Arabidopsis thaliana: one gene and its partners. The protein of the gene in region 3 interacts with the protein of the main gene of each other region in a pairwise test. Each region holds a gene or a part of one and is shown on either strand. Other genes may lie near its edges.

Evidence for each region.
Region 1: the proteins of AT2G37150 (region 3) and FZF interact in a two-hybrid assay, tested with the Arabidopsis thaliana proteins (one large-scale study listed by BioGRID).
Region 2: the proteins of AT2G37150 (region 3) and AT5G05190 interact in a two-hybrid assay, tested with the Arabidopsis thaliana proteins (one large-scale study listed by BioGRID).
Region 4: the proteins of AT2G37150 (region 3) and PAB3 interact in a two-hybrid assay, tested with the Arabidopsis thaliana proteins (one large-scale study listed by BioGRID).

Annotation. Positions count from the first base shown.
Region 1 is NC_003071.7:10,400,094-10,404,448, reverse strand, and holds FZF (Zinc finger protein 622), read left to right. Parts: upstream 1-1,514; 5' UTR 1,515-1,643; coding exon 1,644-1,748; intron 1,749-1,860; coding exon 1,861-2,406; intron 2,407-2,483; coding exon 2,484-2,653; intron 2,654-2,740; coding exon 2,741-2,950; intron 2,951-3,033; coding exon 3,034-3,190; 3' UTR 3,191-3,819; downstream 3,820-4,355. Other genes in the region: AT2G24510 (F-box associated ubiquitination effector family protein), read right to left, coding at 1-76; RPA2 (replicon protein A2), read left to right, coding at 4,033-4,137, 4,281-4,355. UniProt on the Arabidopsis thaliana protein: Pre-60S-associated factor involved in the cytoplasmic maturation of the 60S subunit. Involved in the dissociation and recycling of other late pre-60S factors before newly synthesized large ribosomal subunits enter translation.
Region 2 is NC_003076.8:1,539,602-1,544,662, reverse strand, and holds AT5G05190 (hypothetical protein (DUF3133)), read right to left. Parts: upstream 3,446-5,061; 5' UTR 2,811-3,445; coding exon 2,690-2,810; intron 2,515-2,689; coding exon 788-2,514; 3' UTR 526-787; downstream 1-525. Other genes in the region: AT5G05200 (Protein kinase superfamily protein), read left to right, coding at 20-136, 275-457. UniProt on the Arabidopsis thaliana protein: Plays a negative role in salicylic acid (SA)-mediated resistance to powdery mildew (e.g. Golovinomyces cichoracearum). May modulate plant immunity by regulating the relocation of EDR1 by interacting with CHC2 and modulating endocytosis.
Region 3 is NC_003071.7:15,603,055-15,609,398, forward strand, and holds AT2G37150 (RING/U-box superfamily protein), read right to left. Parts: upstream 4,547-6,344; coding exon 4,393-4,546; exon of another isoform or gene 3,155-4,392; coding exon of another isoform or gene 3,112-3,154; exon of another isoform or gene 2,940-3,111; coding exon 2,835-2,939; intron 2,701-2,834; coding exon 1,969-2,700; intron 1,894-1,968; coding exon 1,478-1,893; intron 1,288-1,477; coding exon 1,186-1,287; intron 1,109-1,185; coding exon 971-1,108; intron 847-970; coding exon 694-846; 3' UTR 527-693; downstream 1-526. Other genes in the region: AT2G37140 (Terpenoid synthases superfamily protein), read left to right, coding at 72-275; AT2G37160 (Transducin/WD40 repeat-like superfamily protein), read left to right, coding at 5,993-6,175, 6,279-6,344.
Region 4 is NC_003070.9:8,053,778-8,059,567, reverse strand, and holds PAB3 (poly(A) binding protein 3), read right to left. Parts: upstream 4,244-5,790; 5' UTR 3,970-4,243; coding exon 3,666-3,969; intron 3,152-3,665; coding exon 2,370-3,151; intron 2,278-2,369; coding exon 2,200-2,277; intron 2,114-2,199; coding exon 2,024-2,113; intron 1,933-2,023; coding exon 1,636-1,932; intron 1,565-1,635; coding exon 1,349-1,564; intron 985-1,348; coding exon 769-984; 3' UTR 508-768; downstream 1-507. UniProt on the Arabidopsis thaliana protein: Binds the poly(A) tail of mRNA. Appears to be an important mediator of the multiple roles of the poly(A) tail in mRNA biogenesis, stability and translation. In the cytoplasm, affects both translation and mRNA decay.

The DNA of each region.
Region 1 (4,355 bases), 5.2 Mb from region 3:
GCAATTTTGCTAGAGACTTGGTTGGAACCCTAGAGAGTATTTCAGATTCCAAATCGTCCGGAAGATCGGAGATCATCATTGTCTTTCTCGTTGTTGCTGATCTGATCACTTGTGGAAGAAAGCGTACAGTATATTTAAGTGTATATAGAAATTAGGGTTTTCGTTACAATAAGCCCATACCATTTATTGAAAACCTTATTATGTGTTGTTAAAAAGCCCATTACCTCCACTGATCTTCTTTTATGTTTTTAGCATATATACTAGAAACTTGGGTCTCAAGCTCTTGGGTTGTACGGTTGTACCCTCTTTTTCTTTTGGATTTGAGTTGTTACAATTTTTCCTATCATCATCACTCCTCAACAAGTTAGATGCAAATGATTCTTAGCTATTTTCTTTTAGAGTGTTCATCAAACATTTCTTCATCTTTTACAAATAGAAAGTTTTCTTCAAAGGTATTGAATAGTTTAGTACGTCATTTCCTTTATAATTTTTTCATCCTCTTTCCTTAGGTCTTGTTCACCTAGTACCAAACCCTTTTTGGCTTCTTCATAAAAATGATGGCATTGCAAAACTCAATTTGTATTTGCTAGATTCGGATTTTCGCAGAACTTACCCTCGGGATTTTAAAGGTAGAAGTGTTGTGATTTAGCCGTATTTATTAGTAATACATACAATATTTTTATTTTTATTTTTTTGGTTAAAAAGCTAGTACATTATTATCACCAAAACCGTTTAATATTGTAGTCTACGGACAGCTTCCAAACTGCTGAATGGATGACGCAATTCATTGCAGTTCAGACACACGAAGTCTCCCTTGACCTGAAACAACAACCATGTAAATGAAAGTGATGAGACAGACTAAGCAGAATGCACAAACCTGTAGACCGAGGTACTTTAGAAACCCTTTAGGATCTTTCAAGTACTTTGGCAATCATAATGTCTAAATGGCTTTACCATGGAATTCATTATGTATAGTATTAAAAAAATCATTATATCAATAAATAGAAACAACTACTTATGACTAAGCTCGAACAAAGGAACATCAATAAAACCAGAAGATAAAGAAAAATCATGAAAATCCTGATGTAAAACTAAGAGTTTTTCTTTCCCAACAACTGATAGAGCTGCAATATCTTCACGATTAAAACTCTTAAACGAAAGAGGAAAACGTGGTTCTATCAGTTGTTGGAAAAGACAAACTGTCGCTGTTACATCAGAAGATATTAAAGCTATGGCCAGAAGATTTTAAACCCTAGAGTTCCGATTCTAAATCGTCCGGAAGATCGGAGATCATCATTGTCTTTCTCATCTCATCCCTCGAGGAAGAAAGCGTTGCGTATATGTGTATAAAAATTAGGGTTTTCGTTACAATAAGCCTAATCGATTTATCTAAAAGCCCATTAGAAAGCCCATTAGCTTCACAAAATGTATTTTAACCCGATTTAAAATTTCGTTTGGGCCAAAGCCATCTTAACCCGACCCATATTAACATCACTGCTTACGCAAACACAACAAGATTTGGAGATTTGTCGTTAAACAAATTTCGCCGACCTACGTATGAGCCGTCGCCTCCAATATAAACCAAAGCCATCCCTAATCCTCGAATTCTTCCTCTCTGAGTTTTTATTCTGAGATAGAGAAAGATGTCAGGTTTAGCTTGTAATTCGTGTAACAAAGACTTCGAAGACGACGCTGAGCAGAAGTTTCACTACAAATCCGAATGGCACCGTTACAATCTCAAGCGCAAGGTTAGAATTCAATCTCTTGTGTTTTCGTTTCGCGATTAAGTTCGTCTATGGTTTATGGATTTGATTTTGGTTCTTCTAGTTCATGATTAGTTTGGTTTTGAAATGTTTATAGATAGCTGGTGTTCCTGGAGTAACAGAGGCACTATTTGAAGCTAGACAAGCTGCTATAGCTCAAGAGAAGGTTAAAGCTGTTGAAGCACCGATGCTTTATAGTTGTGGAATCTGTAACAAAGGTTACAGGAGTTCCAAGGCTCATGAGCAGCATCTTAAGTCGAAGAGTCATGTTTTGAAGGCTTCGACGAGTACTGGAGAGGAGGATAAAGCGATCATCAAGCAGCTTCCGCCTCGTCGTGTTGAGAAGAATAACACTGCTCAATTGAAGGGTTCGATTGAGGAGGAAGAGAGTGAAGATGAATGGATTGAGGTTGATTCGGATGAGGATTTGGATGCGGAAATGAATGAGGATGGTGAAGAAGAAGATATGGATGAAGATGGTATTGAATTTGAGTTGGATCCGGCTTGTTGTTTGATGTGTGATAAGAAGCATAAGACTATAGAGAAATGTATGGTTCATATGCATAAGTTTCATGGGTTCTTCATTCCTGATATTGAGTACTTGAAGGATCCTAAAGGGTTTCTGACCTACCTCGGTCTAAAGGTTTGTGCTTTGTGCTTAGTCTGTCTTAGATCTTTGTTTTTCTTTGCTACTTAGTACTTACATGGTTGTTGTTTCAGGTCAAGAGAGACTTCGTGTGTCTGTACTGCAATGAATTGTGCCATCCATTTAGTAGTTTGGAAGCTGTTCGTAAGCATATGGACGCCAAAGGTCATTGCAAAGTGCATTATGGTGATGGTGGTGATGAAGAAGATGCAGAACTTGAAGAGTTCTATGACTACAGCAGCAGGTTCCATTTCTTCTGCTTTCTCCTCTGTTGTTGGTGTCTAAATGTGCTTGAACTAATTGTGTCTTCTTTTGATGTGTGTTTGTACAGCTATGTCAATGGAGACGAAAATCAGATGGTTGTGTCCGGTGAGTCAGTGAACACTGTAGAGCTTTTTGGTGGGTCTGAGCTTGTGATCACCAAGAGAACCGATAACAAAGTAACGTCTAGGACTCTTGGGTCTCGAGAATTCATGCGCTACTACAAACAGAAGCCAGCACCGTCTTCTCAGAAGCATATTGTCAACTCTCTAACCTCCAGGTTTGTCTTTAACCGATCAGAGATCATTTATCACTGTCTCTGTGTAGAATTTGAATCTGACGTGAATGGGTCTTAAAACACAGGTACAAGATGATGGGTCTAGCAACAGTGCAGTCAAAGGAGGCCATAGTGAGGATGAAGGTGATGAGAGAGATGAACAAAAGAGGAGCGAAAAGCAGTGTCAGGCTCGGAATGAAGAGCAACGTCATCAGGAATCTGCCCAACAATGTCACCTATTAGTCTTGCTCCTCGATTTTCAGGTCTCTCCTCTTTGTTTGATTTTGTGACCAGAGTTTTGGTGAGTAAATCTATCTAAGTTTTTCACTAGTACTCAAGTATCTTAGGCCCATTTGGGTCTCTGTTTTGTCTGATTTAGTCTTTTGAAAATGTTACGTTTTGGCTGAGTTTGTATCTCTTGCCCAGTGCTTTGTACACTCTACATTAATCTATATTTCATTTGGTAGAAGATCAAGAGCTAATCAATCTTTATCTGCTAAATCATAAATCTAGTACACTTTTCACTTATCTATACATTTGTTTTAGATAACGAATGCTCTCGACTTCACTTTCTCTAGCTATCTTGATAAATTGTATAAAGGTAAATGCACAGGTCGATTTACGAGTTCCTCACAAACCGCGAGTAAATCTCGACACGAATATCTTGCATCATCCACTATATCTCTTTATTATTTATCACTCTATTGCTCTCTCTTACAGGCACTACTGTTTCAAAAGAGAGAGGAACAAGTTTAAAGCCTAACTCTTTCCAAAGTCCAACAGCCCAACTTCACAGGAGCCCATCGAAATCATAAGTCTTCTAAACCGGAAAGCTTTTGAGTCGAATAAACTGAACTGAGAGTAAACCGGAGAACTGAATTTATTAAAAAGTAATTATATTATAGATTTACCTCGCCCTAATTGGCGGGAAGCTCTAATCAAAATTGGAGGGAAAATCCCCCAAAAATTCTTTCGTCGCTATTAAAATTCCCCCAAAATCTTCTCTTCCCTTTACTTTGATCACTTTTCAACTTCCTAAATCTCTTCACAGTTACTTTCGATTTTCCGATTTCGTAGCTTCGAAAATGTTCTCCAGCAGCCAATTCGAGCCTAATTCCGGCTTCTCCGGCGGCGGATTCATGTCTTCTCAACCTTCTCAAGCCTACGAATCCTCCTCCTCCACCGCTAAGGTAATATAATCCATCTTCCATTTCGTTCAATTCCACCGATTAGGCTACAGATCGAAAGTTTCCGAATCGCTAAACGTTTCTCTGTAACAATCGATTTTGGAATTGCTAAATCTGCTCTGTATATGTTTTGTGGGAATATGCAGAATCGTGATTTTCAAGGTCTTGTTCCAGTGACGGTGAAGCAAATCACCGAATGTTTCCAATCCAGTGGTGAAAAA
Region 2 (5,061 bases), on a different chromosome or scaffold from region 3:
AGTGAATCTCTTCTTGCAGGAACTAGATACAGAGATAGTAGTGGCTACAGCTCGTGGAACAAATTCAGACACTACTGCTGTTGCTGCTAACGTAGTTATGGATGAGAGACAGATGAATGCTCTTTTCCTCGACCTGGTAAGCAGTTAGACGTAATTTCTTAAGGATTTTTTTTTGGTTTGAAAGTTGTTAAGAGGATATAGAAGTTGCATTGAGTTAAGATAAACCCCAGGATTTGAGCTTTCAGCAGTTGAAAATAAGTTCACTTTCTTATAGGTGCGTGTTAGCGAATCATATGGTCTTAAGTTCCCGAGAGAGTTTGCACTTCTGTTGAAGCAACTTCTGTACTTCGATCGATACACAAGACTATTAGCCCCAAACCTGAACATGCTGCAGGATCAGCGGATCTCTATCGCGTCCAACAAGAGGACGAATGGATACAAGGACAGCTTCAACTAAGTTTATGCAAATATACTTCACTAAACCTATTCAAACTTTTTATTTATTTACAAGTGGTAATGTTATAGTAGATTATCAAGCCAAGAACGATGATGAATTCAATCTTGTTACAAACATATCATGACTATATACAACAGATGAACTATATCTTCTTCTATTTTTTTGTATAATTTTTCACAAGTGTCATGGTTTCTACTTTAAACAAAAGTGCAGAGACAAATCTTTTACCTATACACAGAAGTGAAATAAAGAATGGCAAACAATGGCAAAACTTTCCATCTCAGATTCTCAGAAGTTCATAGTTCTCGTTGCTTCATCTGAAGCAGAGATCTATATAGAAGGAGGACGCTGTGAAACTTTAAAGACTTGGCTTACAGTAGAATATCCCATTAGTCGGTGAAGCGGAGAGCCTCTAGCCACAGGTAGCTCCTCATCCTGAACAGAGGATCTCAGCTTTTCAGGTTTGGAGGGAGCTTTGTCTATGGGAGACTCTGATGTTGAATTGCTATTCCTATTAGCATTTATGTCATGTGTTACTGCAGGAACTAAATGATTTCTGGACTGAAGTGAGAATCTGAGAACAGTGGTGCAAGTGCCGCATCTGAGAAGATGATGTTTCCTCTTGAAAATGAGAAAGTCTACAGGAAGCTGCAGGTTTTCTGAGCAACTGTAACAGCTAACAAAAGGTGCCCCACCAGCTGTTGGACGGACATGACGCTTGGCCACACGTTGTCTCTCTCTTAGACGACGGGTCTGTAACTCATGGTGGTGGCCAGCATGTCTATTACGCTGATGATCCTCCACGTCTGAGACTATCTCACGCCTCCATCTCGGATGATACTCAGGTTGTTCCATTGGTCTCTGTGGACTTGCAGAATATGAACTGTAAGAATTATGAAGCTGACCTGAATACCAACCGCCATGGTTTCTTCCCATTTCACCTGAGATCCTACTTCCTTGGCCCTGACCTCTTGCCCTTGGGTTGTTGTGATACATATAGTCAACAAAATCGTGGTTCATGCCTCCAGCGTATGAAGGCATTTGAAGTGAGTGTGCACGGGGATAGCGATCAAACTCATCATGTGACGGATGGGAAGGGCTTCCACGTGTGTATGATTCTCTCGGATAGAAAGGCATGTCAGGCCGAAGTTGTTCTGTCACATGTCTCCTCCCTTGTCTGCCAAGGCGCCCTCCTGGTCCCTCTAGCTGTAGAGACCTGTTCTGATGCCGCTCGTTGTATGTGGTAATCCCATTGCGCCTATTCTCAGAGAAAGGGGAGGAGGAACTAGCGCCTTGCTCCTTATACCCAGGGTATCTATGCATCTCAAATTTGCCTGATCTTATTTTCTGAAGAGCATTCCATTGTTCGTCATCATCGAGAAGTTGGCCTTCCCTTTCGTCAGAGGAAGACTCACTCCCATCATAAGCAGAAGAAGTCTTGTTTGCAGGATAATCAAGTTGGCTTTGCTTCTCTTCAACAGGGGAAGCATCAGGTGAGATCTCAGCATTGCCAGATGAATTACTCGCTCTTGCAGCCACCACATCATAAGCAGAAGGAGTCTTGTTTGCAAGAATGTCAAGTTGGCTTTGCTTCTCTTCTACGGGGGAAGCATCCGGTGAAATCTCAGAGTTACCGGATGGATTACTCGCTCTTGCAGCCACCACATGATCAACGCTCAAGCTTCCAGAGCTAGATCCAGATCCTGCAGCTTCTGCTACGGTGTTCATCATATGAGACTCCAATCTGGAGTTGTCTTCTCTTTCATTCTTCTCAGAATCACCAAGTGAACATTCCTGCTCTTGAATTTCATTTGTCCCATCTCCATTAGATAACTCTAAGTCATCAAGCTCCTTCTCCGTAGACTCCATGGATGCATTCCTACCTTTCTCATACTCTTGGTCCACGGAACGACCTGGAGATGACGGCAGAACCGTGTCCTGCCCCGAGCTGCTGGACACATTGTTGGTTTCAGGTACGCTTTGCGGCTCATTGGCTTGAGCCCTCTCTGTCTCTCCTGCACTTGGTGTACTGCTTGGAGCAATGTTCCGCCTTTTCGCTGAATCAAAGAAGCAACAACCAAATTTAATAATGAAAGAGATCATGCCACAAAACACAACTGGTTTGAGCTCAGACATCCAAACAGATGGACAACCAGGAGTAGAACAAAGCCAGATTCAGGGACAGAGTTCACATTATAATCAGAGGCAAAATCGAAATGGAAAGAAAGTTACCTTGAAGAATGGCGGAACAACCACCGCACTGATAAACAGGAACATCTTCGTCTTCCTGTAGAATCTTCAAGCACTTGGGACACCTCACCAACCGAATTTTCTGACCCGTCTGGCTCGCCATTGTTGGTACCAAATTTCAAAGACTTAACTCTACTTTTGTTATTTTTGGGTTATAACTCTACCTCATTAGTTAGAGAATCATCATCAACAGAACCCAGAACCCTAATAAACAGAGAGAGAGAGAGGAACCAAAGTAAAAGATTGAAACTTTGTGAAGTTCTTTAAAAGAAAATGGGAGAGGAGACCAGAGGAAGAAGGTCAACGCGGTGTGACTTTTAAGGAGGAGAAATGGTATAACCCGGGTCTGGTCTGAGAGCTGGTTACGGATCCGGGTAGAGATGAAAAATGGCGAGAAGGAAAAGATTACATGATTCAAGAAGCCATGAAAATTGTGTAAGATCCTCCACAGAAGAATCAAAGTAAAACTCTTTGCAGAGAGTTATTATAACTCGAGGGATTGTGGAAGAATAAACCCAGAAGTTGAAGATTTTATAGAGAGAGAGAGAAAGAATGAGATAGAAATAGAGAGGAGAATTTCTTGTCGTGGGGGCGAAGTAGAAGAAGAAGAAGAAGAATTGAGAGAACAGAGACAAAAAAACAAAAACAAATCGTTGGACAGACAGTTTTTTTTTTTTTTTTACTATGGTTTCTCTCTTTTCTTGTTTTTTTCCTCTGAGAAAAGTCTCTCTTTTTCCGTGTCTAAAAAGTTTTTTCTTTTTAATATCTCTTTGAGGAATTTTTTGGTATCTTTTTTCATTCTTGCAAGTCAATTAGAACATCAACGACTCGTTCTCTAATCACTATTCTTTCTTAAACAAAACCCAGTCTGTTGTTGATCTTTTCAATAAACAATATTGGCCCAATTTTTTTCTAAAGAAAGCATCTGCAACAGAGCTTTGTTAGAAGAATTAAGTAGAGGAAGATAAGAGAAAGAGTAAATTGGGTTCAGCTAAATAAAAATTTGGATAAAGAGTTATAAATGGAATGGTGTTGTTAATGTCGGCGCCTGTTTCATTTATTTTGGATAGAGAAATTTTAGCCCCACTACTACTTCCATTTTTCTCATTTATTGATCCCAGTCCTTTTTTTCTTACTTTTTACCATTACCTTCTTAAATATTTCCTAACATTCGAAGTTTGAATATTCCGGTAAATGACTAAATGTTGCCAAGGGAAATTAAATTACCGTGAATGTTGAAATGAATTGGGTTCCACATATTTATTTCTAGGACCTGACAAAAAGCATAATGATCATATGTTTTTCGTATATATATTTATATCACTGGTCGAATTTAACGAACTTTTCATTTTTCTAATGAGAATTCACTAGCCGTGTGAGTGTTTTCAATCACTTTTATTTATAACCAGACAAGTTGAGTCTTTGGTTCATAACCTTTTTAGGTATGAAACCAGTTTTCAAATATAGCACCTACAAAGAATTTGAAATTGATAGCAACGTAACAAAATATTAATCTTCAAATTGGTTCATAAAGTTTTAGGGAACTTGTGAGAAATAAATGAATAAAAGTTTTGTAGGGCTATCTCAAGTCAAATAGTATATATTAAGTATTAACGTACATGTATATCACATTATTTTTTAACGATATGAAAAAAAACTAAGGTAATGGTCGACAGACTCGGTCTTTTATCGTTTTGTGCTGTCTAGTTTCTCTACTTTCTAGATTATCGTTTTGGCTTTGTGATTCTGTAAAAGTCAACCTTTGTTGTGGTGTCCTATTTCTTTGTAGACTTAATTAGAGGTTGCTTCAATATTTGTTTTCTCTGCACAATCCAATGACTAACGGGATACGATTCACAAAACGAATCAAATCAAATCAAGTTCAATACCATTCGAGTCTTCTTCTTCACAGATTACAAATTCGATTATGCGTTGACTCTTTAATTGAGTCAATGGTTTGGACCACTACATGGTTTGTAAATGTTTATTTCTATTTCAAATCGCTAGCTGTTACCTAACATTCAGGACATGAACAAAAACTATCTTACTAAAAAAAAGTCAAAATTAAAGTTTCAAATGTATAAAAGATAATATTGGAGGTCAACTCCCATTTGACAACATTCATATATAGTTATAAATTGATTTTGTTTTTCTATTTACTGTGTTCCCATGATGTTTCGTGAACACATGAAGTTATGGTATTGAATAGAATGGATTTTCTTTTAGTTTTTGGTTTATTCTACAGAACAAGCTCTTGAAATAACTAAAAAATTCACTAACTAAAAACTTGTGATATATACCATGCTGGTTATATTCGCACAACGATTGCAATCATAATTGGCTACTATAGACGA
Region 3 (6,344 bases):
TAATAACGGTCGACATAAAGAGATTATCATAGACATAACATCTTTTTGTATATATGCTCCTAAACATTAAGCAGTTCAAACTATACTCAAAGGCCAACCTTAGCTATGCAGAGTGGGCACAAGGAGACATCGTGCCTACATTCGATGAGTACTTGGAGATTGGTGGTGTTGAGGTGTCAATGTATGTAACTGTTTCATGCAGTTTTCTTGGGTTGGTACAAACTGCTAGAAGAAAAAGTTATGAGTGGCTTAAATCCAGACGGCCAAGTCAGTGAACGAAGTGTACTTGAAGTCAAGGAAGATAATATCAGGCGATATCTTATCACGGGCCACTAATGCTGGAAAAATGATAGATGTGACCTACAGGACCGGTGAAGAATTCACCCATCCACAAGGAAAATTCAAGGACTATATCATCTCTTTATTTGTCAATCTTATTTCTCTTTGAAGATGAAATACCATATAGTGTGAAGTGTTGTGTAACTATTTGCATCTGTAACAAATCCAGATTTTCCAAAGAGAGCCTTTTCCAATAATTAACATATATATTAACCCTTGAGAAAGATCCTGGACTTTCTTCTATTTACAACTATTAATCACTAAGAAAACTTAATGTTATATTCTGTCACATATTTTTCTTCCTTTCGAAAGACAAATGAATATAACATGCACACATAAAAGATAACCTATAATTTATGATGAGTTCTTAGAAGCATCAGGTAAAGCAGGGGATTTGCAAATAGGGCAAGAGTTCTTCATAGACAACCATTTCTTGATGCACCTCCCATGGTAGTCATGACCACACCCCTTAACTTCCCCTAACTCTTCTTTTTCCTTGTACTCCTCCTATTTGTTTACCAATTACCACATCACCCTTAAGTTAGCCTACTTCTAACTTTATAGACACATAATGTTTCAGACAACTAAATCTTACCAGGTTGTGAAAAAAAAAAAAAAAACTAAATCTTACCAGGCAGATTGCACATTTTCTTTGCTCCTCTGTTTGATATGATGGATAATACATTGTTGCTAACAAGCAACTGGAGATTGCGCTGTCGGATAGACCAGTGTTGACACTCCCAATCCTTTCTCCAAGATCAAGGAGTTCCTGCATATATATGTCAGTACCAAAACTTTTCGTTTTGCCTATGTGAGGCTTCAAAAGATAAGTGTTTGGCTATTAACCTCATAGCTCATGTTATCGATGTCAAGCCTCATGTCTCTGTGGTGATCAAGCATGTTTCTGGATCCGTAGTATTGTGGTTGGCGATCTTCAACCATGAATTCCTATTATTACATACACCCCAAAAAATAACAGATTACAGTTCAGCATGCAGCAGAAAATGATAAGATTGCAAATCTATATCTTAATATTCGATATGCACTGTATCATATCGGCTTGATCTTTATCTTAATACTAAATGTAATTTAGACAGACTTCCACTCTAAATAATGCATCTGTAAGGGAAATATATACCTCAGATGAAAACCGTTCGTGGAGAGCAACTTCATCGAAAGGAGGCTGAAACCTCTCATAGGAACTTCTGCGTCTCCCTGGCCGATCACCGCTACGCCATGAAATGTGTGGTGGTGGCCTTAAATGCCTAGACGGATAAGTCTCAGTGACCAAATGAGACCTGTCTCCAGAAGAAGATGCTACATGTCCCGATCGCGAACCGTGTGAAGAAGATCTATAGGTGGATGTTGACCTATGAGAGAAGCGGCTGCTGCTTGTAGATAGTGTTGAAGTTCCAGGAACCCCGTGGGAAACTGTAGGGTTTCTGTTTCCGGTAAGCTCATGGTGATGATAGCCGGAAGTATTAACAGATAAGCTGTTGACAACACTTCTTGCAGGAAGGAAATTATTTGTCTCTGGACTAAAGCCATTTATATCTGCAAAGTGGGAATTAATGTGATTATTAGAAACAAAGACGATTCAGATATCGAGACAAAGTGAACTTTGCATACCTCTAAGAACTGGGGACAATCTAGCACAGTTCCAGTCTTTATTTCCGTGAGATGTCTGACCAGGAAATTGACCTGAGCCATAATGATCAACACTGTGGTGGTGTGTAGAATGAGAATCAAGGCTCAAGCTTCTTGGCAAATTATTTCTACCTAAGCTGGTCTCTGAATCAAGTGTAGGACGACTCCGGACATTCCTTGAAGAGCTCTCTCCCCTGATCGAGAGATTATTACTTCTGTAAGTTGGGTTCATAAGCCATGGCATGTAATGAGGGTCATGATCATGCGTTATTGATTTTCCCAAGTGCAATTCCGAGGGGAAATGAGTGTCTGCAGGAGTTCTGTCACCGTGATATTGGCTTGAACTACCCATTTCATAGATGGAAGAAGGACATGGTCGTTTTCTCTTTTGTGCTCCTCTCACACTTTCCATAGATTGATGATCAACATAACTAGCATTTGACCATGTCTGGCTGTTGTAGCTTGAAGAAGATGCAAATGTCACATAATTCTCATGTGGAGCAGAGAAAGTTGGAACTGTTGAATTCACGGAAGGATCATGGGACGGCCCCGAAACCCCCGGATTGTAGTGTGGTCTCTCCACACTATGACCTGAGTCAGTATAAGCATTTGGTCCTGGAGAAGAGTTCCAATGAGAAGACACTGGCATTCCTTCATTCAACATGTTTTCTGCTGGATAAACATGTGATCTGTTCTCACTGGTCCCAGATGTTGCTGAGAAAATGTGGGATGGACAATAATTAATCAGAAATATGGAACATATTACCCTAAAACTAAACATGCATCATCAACCAAATTTCAATAAATAAAAAACAGATTAAGGAACTATAGAATGAAGGACTAATTACCTTGACTCGAATATGGATGTTCTGGGTGTGTATGATTCCAGCCTTGATCATGTTCATCATCAAAAAACTGGGATGAACCAAGAAAATGTCTGTGCCCCATTAAACCTGCACAAAAATTTCTCTCACCATTCAAAATCCCAGGAAAACATCCGCAAGCTCAGAAAAAAAAAAAATCTATAATTTCCAACCAACATAGTTTACTTTCAGTCTGATAGCCAAATTTCCCAAGTAAATATATAAGAAATCAGTCCATAGTTTCAAGCTCTAGTACCATTACCTTTGTAACATGTACCTACCATATTATATACCTCAGATCTCATGATATCATAAGCAAACAAGTTTTTGTGGACTTAGGCTCTGTGCTGCAGGAAAGTTCATGATGCTTATACATGAAAAATAAACCTTAATAGTACAGATCTTTTAGTTCATAAGAAAAACTTACATAGAAGAGTTTGTCAATAACAACAGACATACTTCTTTTAAACCAAAAGAAAAGAGAGGCAGAAAACAAGCACGGTTGGGAAACTAAGAAGCCTTTGCATTTAAAGTATCACTAAGGTTCTCGACTCTCCAAACCAGAGCCATCAAAAGTGAAGAGTAATACAAGGAGTTCATCAAATTACACACTTTCAAAAAGTCTATAGAATTTACAGAAAAGTCTATAGGAAACTGATTAGGAAATAGAAGAGGATGAAAGAATAAGGCACGATGGCAAATTATCATATACTGTATCCGCATAAAAGAGCATCAGAGCAAGTTCATGCAAAATAGGTAACACTTGATATCATCTTTTCAGTTTCTATCAATGTACTACTTCTTCGTTTATATTCAAGTAAAGGCCTTGTACATGTATTTCACTAAACTTACAACCATAGATGACATGAGCAAGAAAATTACATGGAAAATCCAATAGCAGGACTTAAGCTTAAAATATTTTTCTGAACCGAAACCCTCAAAAGTGCACCTGCAGGCAAATAATCCTAGAAGGATATAGGTTTAGAAAGTCCTAACCACGAATACACTACACTACCCAAGTGATAAAGCCGTCGTGCTTGATTGATCACTGATTCATCATTTCTGCACACCTTTAAAGTAGACCAACAGGAAGCAATTAGGCCCTTGACTTCACTAATACAATGAGAACACCAAATTCTATTCCTTCTCCTCTGATCCACAAATTGAATACACTACAGTTTCCTTAGATAAACGGATTTAGTCCACAAAAGTACTAGCCTGCAAAGGCTTACTACCTCATTTACTATTTCTGCGCTCTTATTGTCTTCAAACCCACCAGCACACCTTAATAGACTCCTGAATTCGGGCTTGTGTGAAAGGATGCTTTCTTAAAATTAGCATTATGTTTCACATCATTGTGCATCCAAATCAAATGCTTGTACGTGACAGCATGTCACTCTAGAAACCATTATATGATAGATGTAGTTTGTTAGGAAGATTGAAGTTCCCCACTCATGGATACCGTACCTCAAGCATCTTCAACTGACTAAACACACTCTGGTACACATGTGATGGCAGAGACTAGTTATGGTTATTTCCTTACCCCTATGGATCAGAATAACTTCTAGATGACTTGAGTTCAAGTTCGCTTTGCTTTCCCAATCAACCAAGAAGGTCCACAACACAATCCGCAAATCAGAATACATCAAGGATAGGCCAGCCACCAATCCTAATGGGCTAACATGAGGAACTAACATCTGTTTGAAATGTGTTATCAATGCAATTTCTTTAAGAATGATGCCATAATTTCAAAGTTTCTAAAAGTTCTCAAAGAGGAAGATGAATTCTGACCTGAAACTATAGCCGTACTAGTTCTCAAATCTTCCAAACACTTGAATCACTGATTAGGCTTTTCTCCAGTTTCTCAACTACCAGAGGTTCGTGGTGGAGAAAGGTATGATAGAACTAGAAACCACCATTGCCACTAAACCTGCAGCCTGCAGGATACAAACCAGCTAAGCCTAGGTTATGCTAATACACTATATCCCAAACTAGCTTACCCGCATCGCTGAAGTAGCAGCCTGAACAACATTATCAACAGCTAACCAAAACACAAAGCTTACAACATCTCCTCTAATCACCGAGCTGGTCTCTTCTCAGTATCGGAATCTTAAAAAGCTAACAACTACGTGAAAGAGAACAAATTCGAAGTCTGAAATTATCAGAACCGACTCCGGTTAACGGACATGATCGCGATCATACCCGAAGATTGTGGGAAAAGTCACCGATGTAGCAGCAAAACCGGGAATAAACCGGATTAAACCGAAAAAAAGAAACAATCCATCATCACACAATCACAAGAGAAAAAAGGAAACAACGATCGGCTTGTTTATACATACCAACACGAAATAATCAGCTCAACGGCGAAACAACAATAATGATCGGAGAAATGAGAAACATTACCAAAGCGTTCCGGCGATGAGAAAAGAAGACCGATCGGAGAAAAGCAAAGAGACGTATGGATTCGTATAGATGACGCAACCTTTTATGAAAAAGAGGTTTTAGAGAGAGAAATATGTTTTGAAGACAAATTGCTTTCTTTTTTGGTGATGGTTGAGCGATGAAGAGTATCGGTTTATATTTAAGAAAAATCAAATTAAAGCGGTTGAGTTACGACGTTGCCGGGACATTAATCCCTTCTCTGACCAACTTCACCGGCTACCGGTAAAACCCGTTCACTGTCTTATTGTCGACTAAACAATTTATTAATTAACTATGGTTCTTCAGTAATGGGCCTATATTTTTGGACTGTACTTGGGCCTCAGCTGTACGTATCAAAAGGGTTCGAGAAACTCAGAGATTAAAGGGATCTTGACCGTTGATCGAGATGACTTTGATTTTATCCATTAATAGTCAATTTGATTGATGAGTTAAGAGGATGATTAAGAAAGCAATAAAGGAAGCGAATCGGAATCCACATTGTATTAATCTTTTTGATCCAGTAGCCATTGGCGAATCCAGGAGTATTAAAGTTCCATTTTGATTTTGGCGACGATGATGAACAGAGTTTAGAGAAATTTGCATTGAAGAAGAGAAGATTTTTGGATTTTGTGTAGTGGGAGAAGGGTAAACCCTAGCTTGGGAGGGACATGATCGGATGCTCTAAGTAGCTTGTGAATTAGAGAAAGAGCAAGTGAGCAAATATGATGAACACTTCGAATGGGATGATCTCTGGGCCTTCTTCTTCGTCAGCTTCGGCGGCGAATCCTCAGTCTCCGGGAATCAAAACGTATTTCAAGACGCCTGAAGGAAAGTACAAGCTCCACTACGAGAAGACGCATCCCTCTGGGCTTCTTCACTACACTCATGGCAAAACCGTTACTCAGGTGAAGATTTGATTCGTTTTCTTTGGTGTTTATTTTTGAATTGAAAGTTTAATCCAATCTGATTTCTTTGCACTTGTGATTGCTATTACGAAATTGCTATTAGGTTTTGTGTAAGAATATCAAATGCACATTTCATTTTTATGTTTTGAAAGTGGTTTCTGAGAATGGA
Region 4 (5,790 bases), on a different chromosome or scaffold from region 3:
CAAAGGGTCGGCTCTTGTAGCTCCAATGAGAAGGGTCAGACACATTTTGGACGGTGACATGTATCAACCCCACTCACTCTCTTCTTTATTCACTCATTTTTTTTGTTAGTCTTCTTGTGTGCTAATGTATGGTCAATTTGAAATTAGCACTGATGTTGACTTTTTAAAATATTTTCATATGAACGAGCTGGTTCATGTACCATGCCAACATATGTTTTTCAAATAAATTAATCGAATTAGATTCTTGTTGTGACTGAGAGTATTTTCGATCAACATAAACCATTCAAATTAACGTCATATCAAACACTATTATGAAATGAGTGGTACAATCATTGAATCGCTTGCTTCCAACCCCTCAAAAAGAAAAAGTCTGTGTGCATATAATTGATATCAACTACAAGTTGAAATACAAACCACAAATTATGAGTAGACACATTCGAATAAATTCATAATAGAAGGCTGCTACCATAATAGAAGGATTGTCCCTTGTTGCTGACCATGAATACCGAACAACTTAAATTTCAAGTAGAGATGGATTATTTGGGGATTCGGAAGAAGAAGTCTACTCAGATTATTAAGAAATCATCATTGTCCAAAGAAAAAGAAAAACACCATAAACTAAGTTAAAGACACAAAAACCATAAACTAAGTAAACAAAAAAAAACTGCTAAAATAGTAAAGGAAGACTAAAACCCAAAAAAGAAAAGAAAAGGAGTCGATATCAAAACTAAAAGAAGAAAACAGAGTTGAGCAAACGCATTGCAAATTTCAGTCGGTGGTAGAGAAACCAAGATCATGATCAGTTGGATCAACAGATAGCCTGAGAACATCCAAAGCCTCGGATACTTTAGACTTGAGTGCCTCTGGTGACTCCATCAGGTGCAAGATCTCAGCTTGATCCATCTCCAACAACATTCCTGTGACTTTAGCCACGTGAAGTGGTTCGTGCCTTTCCACAAGTGGGTACAGTTGTTCTCCAAGCATCTGTTCCCAACCAATTTTTTAAAAATAAAAATCAGTAAACATATAAATATATAGATATGCCAATCTCTATCAACTATATATTTATGTGACTTTAACTTTTATTTATTTGTTATAAGACCATAATTCTTTCAAACATTTGATGTTAAGAAACAAAATTCACCAAAACATTTTTCAGTTATTCAGGAAATATTTTGTAAGATAAAATGCAAATGTGACTGACCTCTCTTTGCGTTTGGTTTTGCATCAACAATTGAAAACATATGTTTAGAGTTAAGGGTTTATTATTCAAAAGTTATACACCAAATGCAAAAGAAAACGCAAAACAAAGAAATGTTTAGCTGAGATGGAAGGAAAAGAGGCAAACCCGAGTGCGATCAGCTGGACTAGCAGAAGCTAAGGAAGAAGTGAGCTTAGAGATTGGAAGGAGAGGAGCTTTCTGGTGAGAGATCGAAGAAGCATCTATTGGCAAAGGAATGATAGGAGGTAAGATTCCTTGAGGAACACTCGAATCCATTCCGTTCCTCCCGTTACTCGCACCGTTCATATATCTCATTCCCGGGGACGGGTTACGGTGCATAAGCTGTCAATATTCAATCCAACTCAGTTTCATGATTGTTGAAAACTATAAACAGACTCAGTTTAGTAACATACTTGTTGTTGTTGGATGTGTTGTTGCACGTTAGTAGCACCACGCCTGAATCCCATACGAGGACCGGTCTGAGGTTGTCTTTGAAGCGGATAAGGCACGATGAAGTTGCCCGGGCCAGAACCTGGACGCATCCCGGGCATGAACTGAGGCTGGAATCCATATCCAATGGGCTGGGACGGGACCATACTTGCTCCGTTTTGGCCTACGTACATGTGTTGAGGTGGACCGGGCATTGGTCCACCTGGCGGGTGATGGAACCCTGACATTGGCCCTGGTGCTCTAATCTGTGAAAACAACGCCTGAAAAAATTGCAAACTTATGTACTTAGTCACACATATAGCTTTAACAAACCCATTTCTTTTAAATATGTTAAAAGAGTTTTTAAAAAACCTGTAAGTGTGCTCGTCTATCTTCTTTGCGCTGCGCAAGAGCTATGTATAGAGGTTTTCTTCCGATCATCTTCCCATTCATTTCACTCAGCTGCATTGTCTCATATGTAACAATCTCTCAGATATCAAAAGAGACGAACAATAAAAGAAGAATATATTATAGTTTTAGTAACTCACGGCTCTTAAAGCTTCTTCAGGATTGGAATAAGCAACAAAACCAAATCCTCTGCTCATTCCTTGTGGATTAAGCATAACCTACATTAGTTAAAGGATTGTGTCAAAGACAACGTAACATCAACAACATATATATTTATGAATATATGTATGAGTTTTTAATTAATTATTACCTTGGAGGATGTCACATTTCCATACTCAGAGAACATCTCCTTGAGTTTCTCATCATCAACACTATCATCAAGATTCTTCAAATACAGGTTCGCTCCTTGAGATTTCTCAAACCGGTTTATCCTCTCTTGCTCAAACTTCCTTCTTAGCTCTTCCTCTCTCTCAGACTTCTTTTGCGCCCTCCCAACGTACAACACATCATCCCCTAAGCTAATTCCATTCATCTTCTCAACCGCCGAAGCCGCTGCTTCAGTGCACTCAAAATTCACAAACCCGAAACACCTCGAGTTTCCGCTCTGGTCCCTCATTACAACTGCGCTCGATATCACTCCAAATTTACCAAACGTTTTTCGTAGCTCGTCCTCACCAATCTCCTTGGGGAGATTCTTGACGTACACGTTAGTGAAACGCGGTGTAGGGGTGTTTTCATCACGAGCACGCTCTTGACGTCTGATGAAGTGTCCCACAAAAACTTGCTTGTCGTTCATTAACATTCCGTTTAGCTTGTCAATTGCGGCTTGAGCCGATTCCTCCTTCTCGAACTGGACAAATCCATACCCCTTGGACCGGCCAGTCACGTCCATTGCAACTTTGCATGAGAGGATGGTTCCAAAACTTGAAAACGTCTCGAACAAGGCCTTGTTGTCGATTGAAGCGTCAAGGTTTTTGATGAAAATGTTTCCTTTGCCGCTCAATCGCGTGCTTGGGTCACGGTTCGAAAGCATGATCCGAATGGGCCTATCAAAGAGGGGAGTGTAGTTCAAGGCCTCCATTGCACGGTAAGCTGCAAACATAAATCAACATATAAACATAGGCAAATAAGATCTCAATTCATTATAGAAAACCAGCATCTATGATATTTATAAATGCACAAATACCTATAGTTTCTACAATTAATGAGATTGAAAGAACAATTTCAAACAAATTTCACGTATTAAATTGAACTAATTAAGAAAAATCATAATATAAGAGACTGATGCATCAACTACTAAAATAAATGTTGTAGCTTTGATATTCAAACGAAACATATCAATGTAGCAGAATCATGGTATAGTAGAGATGAACTACAATATAGAATATTGATTATATGTTAATTTCTAGACAAAAAAAAAGATGATTCGCACAGGAACATGATACTGATCAAAATTAATTACCATGTCTAATAAAAAATTGAGATTGAAAAAAATCAAATCAAAACACTTTTTCTTATTGTAATGCAATTCATGATAATATATATATTTTGTTTTGCAAGACATGAACCCTAACTTGCAATTGAAGCGATATAGAATTGTATTTACCATCGTTAGGGTTACTGAAATTGATGTAGGCATATCCCAAAGATCGACGATTCTGATCGCGGCAAACTCTTACCGAGACGACATTAGCAACATGTTTGAACAAATCAAATAGATGTGCTTCAGTAACTTTCGGGTCCAGATCACCGGCATAGAGCGACGAGTTCGGGTGGGTTTGATCGGCTACCACGACCGGGGATGGAAGAGGTATTGAAACCGGAACCTGAACCGAAGTCTGCGCCGTCGGACTGGGAACTTGATCAACCATTGTCGCCGGTGCAACACCTGTGGCAACCGCCGCCGCCATGATTATGAGTTTACTTTTTACAAGACGATTTGTTATTTTCGTCTCGTGAAAGGAAACAAAATCACTGATTCTAAAAAAACAAAGATTCGATGATTTGTTTCTGTAAGGGTTTTAAGTGAGAAAGAGATTTTCTGTAAACAACATGACTCGAGGATTTGTTTCTTCACAATTTTTGATTTATTTATTTTTTAGGAATTTTATTCTTATTTAGATTTTTTTTTTTCCTTTTTTAGTTTCCTCCGATTATCAAGAAGAGTAAAGAGGGATAAAATTGAATTAGTGTGATGAGTGTGGATGCATATTTATACATAACTAGCTAAGCCTATAAAACCGAGCAATTAACAATTTAGTATAAATAAAATGTCACTTGATTTTACTATTAATAGCTAATTGAATATTTCATGAATCTTTGATAATAAGAATTGGTCGCAGTTTTAAATTATGTTTGCCTTTATTTCTTTTTTTATTACATGAGGTTTTATTTTAGTTACACTTATCGAGCATGTGCTAATTTTGTTTTCTATATCGAAAGCAACATTAAATTTATTTATTCATAAAAAAATGCATGCTTCTAAGGCTTATAAGCACACAAATCTAATTAATTTCTAATAATATAACTAATGAGGTCTTAAGAGCTAAAATTTAATAAATTGATTTAACATTTACTTTGGATAAAAATTGTGATTTTTTATTTATGTTTTTGATTAGAGTAAAGACGAACAACTAATTTTTCAGAGCAAAATTTGCGGCTATTGATTTGGTCATTACTAAGATATCAATCTTATTACTATAAATAGACACATGAAACTATTTTTAGATTCTTTTGACCAGATATTAGATTATGAATTTATGATAAATAAATTGGTAATTTTTTAGTTAGTTGAAATTAAATCAGTTGTATTGTTGATGATGTAAATAGGTTTAGTAATGCTACGAAGTAACTTATTAAAAATCATGGATAATGGAATCTTTTATTTATTTCAATAGACTACAAACCCCTTTAAATATCATACACATATATTGATACACATATATAGATTCAAGTTTTTTATTAGGGATAAAATTGAATTAGTGTGAAGAGTGTGGATTAATATTTATACTTAACTAGCTAAGCCTATAAATCCGAACAATTAACAATTTAGTATAGGGAAAGTGTCACTTGATTTTTACTATTAATAGCTAATTGGTGTTTCATAAATCTTTGATAATAAGAATTGGTCGCAGTTTTGAATTATGTTTGCCTTTATCGCTTCTGTTTTTTACATAAGATTTTATTTTAGTTACACATATCAAGAATTTGCTAATTTCATTTTCTATACCGAAATCAATACTAAATTTATTTATTCATAAAAAATGCATGCTTCTAAGGCTTTTAGGCACACAAATCTAATTATTTTCTAATAGTGTAACCACTGAAGTCTTAGGAGGTAAAATTTAATAAATTTATTTAACATTTACTTAGAATAGAAATTGTAATTGTTTTTTTTTTTTTATGTTTTTGATTGGAGTAAAAGATGAACAGCTAATTTTTGGGAGCATAACTTGCGGCTATTGATTTGGTCATGACTAAGATATCAATTTTATTACTGTAAACAGAAACATGAAACTATTTTTATGAAACTATTTTTAGATTCTTTTGACCAGAATTTGGATTATGATAAATGGATTGATGATTTTTAGTTAATTTACCCATGCCAATTATACTATAGTATCCTCAACTATGCCGGTCAACACTGGTCTTCAACGGAGTAAATTTATTAGTGTACCGGAATTGCATGTCTGTGGTGTTAACTACATGACGTCGTATAGTTCAGATATGTG